Linked DNA regions of Kluyveromyces lactis. The protein of the gene in region 1 interacts with the protein of each later gene in a biochemical or structural test. Links are inferred from orthologs where the notes say so. Each region holds a gene or a part of one and is shown in the gene's direction. Other genes may lie near its edges. The genes, in order: MCD1 and ECO1.

Region 1 (4,086 bases):
AAGTCTTGGAAGGTTCTTCTTCTAAGAAGTTCTTTGTTTCCGGTGGTTTCGCTACTGTCCAACCAGACTCTACCTTGGCTATCACTTCCGTTGAAGCATTCCCATTAGAGTCTTTCTCTCCAGAAAACGTTAGATCTCTGTTGGCTGAAGCTCAAAAGAACGTCTCCTCTGCTGACGAAGTTGCTGCTGCCGAAGCTGCTATCCAACTTGAAGTTTTGGAAGCTTTGCAAGCCGCTTTGAAATAATTGAGATGAACGAAGAATTACAATTGGACCAAGGTATAATACACTTGATACGGATACTCTACTTGGAAGCAATTGTTTTCCCGGTTGATTGTAAACCTGTCTCGGCGTTTGTATTATCCTTCGTCTGCTTTTTTTTCATTATTCTAATTCCTATTATTCCATTGCACAAGCTTACACAACACAACGACGAATACATTTCATGATTTAGCCTAAAGACCCTTTTTTGTTGCTCCGGTCATTGTCCTTTCTTTCCATACAATACTGTAGTGTGAACGTACGAATAAGACTGGGAACTATTGAGAATTAACCTAAAACGACTATTACTAAAATATACAACGAATTAAAACCCAGCGAATTAAAAGAAATCAGAAGAAATAAATACGATAAAACCTAAAAATTCTAAATGATATGGAGGTTGATACAAGTGATGTCTCGATTCCGTTTCAAAAGGGGGTTCTAGTCTTTGTTTTAATGACCAACAAACATAAATCTTTCTTCAATATACTATTCCTTCCTTTCTAACAATATCAAAGAAAACACTGGATCGATTATAATTTGTCTATCCCCGTTAAAAATATTATCAATTAAGAACCGAATTGAAAGACTTAGATTTTATATTTTTTAGCAGAAACGATTTGTGTGTAACTGATGTCTAGTTTTAAGATTCATATTCATATATACCGATTAAACTGACTGCGCATACTGAGAGAGATGATCTGGTTTTGGCATCAACAAGAGTTAGAAAGGCAGGGTAATAAATGGGTATAAGGTCCTCACTTGTTACCCGGATTTTATACCACGAAATCGAAATTTTTCCGGCGGGAAATCTTTTGAGGTCCCAGAAAAAGACATTGTTTTCCCCCAAAAATATTTTCGCGATTTTTCTCCATAACGCGTTTCCGTGATGAGATCTATAACCAGCAATCCTTTAACAAATATCATTGATAAACACTGGATGAGAAGTATGTCTATTCCATCATATTGATTGCACCTTTACCAATAATTTTATCAAATATATATATTACCTATGGAATTTTAATGTCGTGACCTCTGAAAAAAGACACAGTGCTATTTTATTTCATTTTTATTTTGCTAACCATTCCTTATAAGATCAAGTTCTAATCTCGATCTTAAGTTTATATCCATTTGCTATACCATTTGCAACAGGAACCACGAGCCTTATATCACCTAATCCAAAAATAAACAACGTATATGCCACCAAATAGCAATTCACATACTCAGGTGAGATTAAATACAAGCAATGGGCCGTTGGCTCAGATCTGGCTGGCTTCCAATTTGAGTAGCATCAATCGGAACATTGCAAAGACTAATATCGTGGAATCTGTTGAAGAGATTGCCAAAGCTGCAGGTGTTAATCTAGATGATGAATCTGTGGAACCTATCACATTACGTGCTTCCGGTGAGTTACTACATGGTGTTGTAAAAGTTTATTCTCAAAAAGCATCCTATCTGCTTACTGATATCACAGACTTACTGAGTAAAGTGAAATCTATCTTCAAGGGATCGCTGAACAAGAGCGTCACAATTCAGCTAGATACAGTGGCAAAGTTAGATCAGCTTTTATTGCAAGATGCGGTTACAGAACTTGACGTCTTGGAGATGCCCAGTTTGGATTTCTTGAAAGATATCCAAGTGCCAGAAGGTTTTTTGATCGCTGAACGATCAATGGAAAGACAAGTGCAAGGAGCAGCACCTGTAACATCCGCCATTGCAGCACAACAACAAGCATGGGATATGTCCTTAGAAGTTGGAAGGCGATTCCTGGCAGATGAAGATGATGACTTGAATGCTATTGAACATCACGATTCATCTCATTTGAAATTAGATTTTGACCTTGGTGATTCTAATCAAAGCAATAACACTAAATCATGGGGTGAAGGGACTCGTGTTACTGCTAGTGAAGTAAACGCGGATGATGGAGAAAATGAAGGTGATTTGACTATTAGAAATGACAATGACGATGATGATGAATTGCTACCACTTAACGATGATTGGGATTTGGGATTAAACGATGATGATCAGAATATTTCTGGTAATCAGTCTAGCCATGGTAGCGACATGTCTGTAGAGATCGGGAGAAGGGCTGATATTACTCACTCATTGCATGATGATACACTCTTAGACTTTGATCTAGGGCTGCCAAAGGACACAGAACCAGAGCATCAAGAGCAAGCAGAGGCATACATACCACCTAGAGCAGTAAAGAAGAGGGCACCAAGGAATAAAGCCTTTATCAATGTTAAGAAGGTTCTCATAGATGCTGATGCCGAATTAAACGATTCTGAAGTGAAAGGAGGACCATCGGACTCAATTCTTATCGTTTCTGATGAGACTTCGTCCGCTATATCAAAGAAAAAAAGAGCCATCGATGAATTATACTCTGACCTGGACTTCCTTCCTCAAAAGATTATATCTAATTTCTTCAACCATAAAGCTTCAAAGAAGCCTAGAGCTCTGTCACAATCCAGCCAATCTGATGGGTCCGATGTTGATATAGATATCTCTTTGGGTATCGATGGAAGTTTGGTACACAATTCTGATCCATTCGATCACCAACAAATGGGCTTTGATGCAGAATCAGAAGGACCAGTGTTTGCTGATGATGAACCTCCAGTTCTTGCAGCTGATACATCCATGGAAGAAAATGATTACCAAGCCATTCAATCAGACGAATTTGCCTCTCGTGGGTCAATTGAAAAGGAAAAAAGTCAAAAAGTAGAGCTTGCTACCGGTGAAATCGTGTCTAAATCTACAGTGGAAATGGCAACTCTACTGAGAGATGAAATGAGCTCCGGTGAAGCTACTTTTGATAAAATCCTTACTTCGAAGTACCAGGATAACGCGGTAATAACAAAAAGAATGGCCAGTAAAGCATTCTTTGAGTTACTTTCTCTTGCCACCGCAGACTGTATATCATTGAAACAGAAGGAAACATTTGGACAAATCACAATTTTAGGAAAATCAAACTTATATGAGACGTTTGTTACCGCATAGACTTTTAATTTGGATACTTTTATAACGGACATTATGTATAAATAATTAATAATATCTGTTTTTTTAAGTTGGTTTAAATATACATGACGGCAGATCAGTTCAAGTTGTTGTGCTATTCGATTTCTTCATTTGGTTGTTGCTGTTGTTGCTGCTGCTCCAAGTATTCTTGTATTGATAACTGGTTAATGTGTTGTAAAAGCTCCTCATCAGCGAACCTGTTCATTTGGGATATTTCTAGATGTTTACTATCAATTAGTCCTTCGATTGTTTCTACTACATACTCACTTTCTCTATCATGTGGTTGTGGTGGTAGTACATCGAATTCAAACACAGAATGATCTGACCAAATTTCTTCGGGAATAGCAGCCATAACGGATGACTCTTGAGAAAGAATAGCAAACCTTAACAAATTAATTGGAATGTTATTGATGAAGAATGATGTTGGCGCCACGTCGTCATCATCATCGCCATCATTTATATCCTTCACTGCATCAGTGTCAAACGAAGTGGAATTAAAAATGCTTGCTAACTCATCAAGTAAAAACTTCTTAGCTTCCGCTTCCTTCCAAATGGCGCCCATTCTAGTAGTATAAGCTTTTGTCTCGATAGAAGCGCTCACAGTAGGAGGTTTTAATTTAATTTTCAATTTGGATGGATCACCAAGTAACACTTCTTCGTATATCCTGTAAAGAGATGAAGGATATTGATTCCAAACACGTTTTAACAACTGCTTAGCTTCTTCAATGCAGGACAATTTCCAATAAGAATATACGGCAGTCATTCCCAGTCCTAAAGTAAACCACTGTTTGTATAGGTTGAATAAAGG
Region 2 (2,961 bases), on another chromosome or scaffold:
AGCAATGTTGATAACTATACGATGCAACATTACTTTGCCTTAACTAATGATCAAAACAGTATTTGAAAGACCTGCTGTTCGCCGTGTTTGTATTCAACAGTTGTCTCCCTGGTCGTCTAAAAGTGCATATTTTTCTTTTATGACTTAATTCATCAATATCCCGAATGAACAATGATTAGGCGATTACTGCTTGAATAGTCGTGATAATAAATATTGAGGGTTGAAAACTGTAACGCAGCAATGGTCTAATCAAAAAATACGATCTCTCATAAAAGGAGCTGGGACTCTTGGCATACACATAGTAATTTTATGTACTGAGAAATTAATGCTGAAATGGCTTTTCAAAAAGTCAAAAAATTATGGACGAGTCCGGAGTCGAACCGAAGACCTCTCCCATGCTAAGGGAGCGCGCTACCAACTACGCCACACGCCCAATTAATATGTTATGTTGTGATATGGTTTGGATGATAGTTGATTGATTAATCGCCTGATGAGGGATCGTTGATATCAAACAATATAACGAATATAATATAATCTATTTAGCTAGATCGTTGAGTATATGCGTCCTTGCTCTTCTTTCTCTTGTTGCATCCAACCTCCCCAAGAGGTCGCAACATAGCTCAGCCTTTTATACTCGACTTATATACTCGGATGGTCGTCAGACTTCGTCATGGCAACTCATTGCCTCCATGCCCTTGTAGGTTTTGTGCAGCTACCGTCCTCCACGCGCACTCAAGACCATCACGTGACCGTCTATGATCCATCTAGGTCATCCCTCTGGATACCACAGGATCCATATGCCCAGTCACTGACGTCTTGGAACTCTGCCGTGTGCTGGCTAGCTCACATGACCTCTCGTCTGGCTTGTCTTAAGTCTATCTTACGACATGTTATAAGAATGTAGAACTAGTATACAGACTGTTGGAACTAGTCATAACGCATGACCGGGTAATACAAATATAATAGGCGGTTAATAATGGTTTTGTGTCACTGACACATAACAAAGTATATAAACCAGTACTCAGATCTAATCTACTAATTAGTAGGAATCAGATCTACAGACACCAGGTGCATCTAATTATTCTAGGAGATATATAGCTAATCAAGATGGATTCTTCTAATAAAGATCTGATAAGATCAAAGCCACGTGACATGTATAGTCACATACCACAACATGGTAACCATGTGACAAACTCCATTAGCTCTAAGGAAGAATACACGATTTTCTCGTAATTGGTTCCCTATTGCATAAACTGGATACACAGAGGCATATATGGTAAATGCAGCATCTCTTTGCTTACCGTTCTTACCAGTTTTCTCTCATGAACAATACCCTTGTTTCAACCTGAAATATAAATCGATCTACACTTTCTAACGTGTAATTATCAAAAGTAAAAACGCGTCAGTAAATTGCCACCAATCAAAGCTCTCCAATCAACCGTACATGTCCAAATATCGGTCACCAAAGACTAAAAAGTCTATTCAAGCCACGTTACAGTTTAAATCGACCCCAACTCTGGTAAAATGTCCGAAGTGTTCGATAACTTATAGCACTAATTCTCCTAGTGATCTGGTGCAGCACAAAAGATATCATGACTTACATTTAAATGGGAAAAGGTGGTCTCAGAGTTGGGGCGACATCATTAATAGAGTAGAGGCTCTTAAAACAGAGAAACAACTGAAATATTCAATGGTGTCTGAAAAGGATAAAAAAGTGATGTCCTTTCAACTCCCGTCCCAAACCTTATATGAAGAAGATGAGTACATTGTCATGATTTCTCCAAAGAAAGCTAACGAAGTGAAGGCTGCACTCGACTTGATGTCAATTGTAAATGAAGAATTAAATGCACCTCATGATGAGAATGCTTTTTGGTCTGAGGTGGATAAGTCCGGCAAATCACAAGGTAAAGCGTTTATCTACGTAAAGAAGAATAGAGCTGTTGGAGTTATTACAATCGAGTACATCGAGAATACCAACCGAGGTAAATGGATGGTATTGGACACCAAAGCCATAGTACCGAATGTAGTACCGGACGTCAAACTGGGAATATCGAGAATATGGGTATGTAGAAATCAAAGGCAACATGGCATTGCTACAAGACTACTAGAGGTCGCAAGGAAGAAATCAATATACGGATGTATTGTCAATAAATGGGAACTGGCATGGTCACAACCAAGCCAAAGCGGTAGCATATTGGCTAAAAGCTATAATGCTGCAAAACATCGCTCAGGAAAACTTTTAATACCGTGTTACATATGATACATATTAGTATGCAAGTAGATGAATAACGAAACGAATAAAAGAGAAGCATCCAACTGCATAGACGGTTGCAACCAAAGCGTGTAATTATGTGAAATTGATATGAAAGCTGATTTGGTTTCTACTTGCAAAACTGTAACCAACACAGGCAAAATATTCGTACAACGGTCAATCTCTATCTCTTACTCGACGATATCTTTCTGACCCCACTGGTGGTTCTTTTTCCGTTTGATGACGCCAGACGTCTGTTTTTAGGCAGAATTTGTCTCAATGCGTCTGTGTCTTCTATAGACGAGTTGTTAACTTGTCTTGTGTCATTTGGAGACGTTTTCATGCTATTATCAGTATTCATGGAATCATCTATGTCACTGTTATTATCGGTAATCTTGGCGGCAACCTGGTTTTCCTTCTTGTTGATGTCTTCGATTGTGTTGCCTCCATGTCCCTTTCTTGGTTGACCAGGAGATTGTTGAGGTACTGCGGTATGCGAGTTCTTTTGAAAGCCTATTGTTTTCTTTGATACAGACGGAGGAGTCATTGTATGATCATCTTGGGTATATTCTGCTTCGTAATTTACTTTCTTCTTTCTCTTTTGCTGCTTATACTCTTCCACGGTGATCAATGGGTATAGTCCTCCGATCACATCGCTTGGTTCCTGTGATAACCGCATGGTATATTTCCATTCTCTAAAAGAATTTTGA

Evidence for each region.
Region 2: of the proteins of MCD1 (region 1) and ECO1, one has a biochemical effect on the other in vitro, tested with the Saccharomyces cerevisiae proteins (3 studies listed by BioGRID). The link is inferred for Kluyveromyces lactis from reciprocal best matches to the Saccharomyces cerevisiae genes MCD1 and ECO1.

What each region holds. Positions count from the first base shown.
Region 1 is NC_006042.1:1,366,737-1,370,822, forward strand, and holds MCD1 (kleisin alpha), read left to right. Parts: upstream 1-1,457; coding exon 1,458-3,260; downstream 3,261-4,086. Other genes in the region: ATP16 (F1F0 ATP synthase subunit delta), read left to right, coding at 1-245; RQC1 (Rqc1p), read right to left, coding at 3,373-4,086. UniProt on the Saccharomyces cerevisiae protein: Cleavable component of the cohesin complex involved in chromosome cohesion during cell cycle. The cohesin complex is required for the cohesion of sister chromatids after DNA replication.
Region 2 is NC_006038.1:585,890-588,850, reverse strand, and holds ECO1 (Eco1p), read left to right. Parts: upstream 1-1,444; coding exon 1,445-2,260; downstream 2,261-2,961. Other genes in the region: putative uridine kinase DAS2, read right to left, coding at 1-30; phosphoprotein phosphatase CDC14, read right to left, coding at 2,436-2,961. UniProt on the Saccharomyces cerevisiae protein: Required for establishment of sister chromatid cohesion during S phase but not for its further maintenance during G2 or M phases or for loading the cohesin complex onto DNA.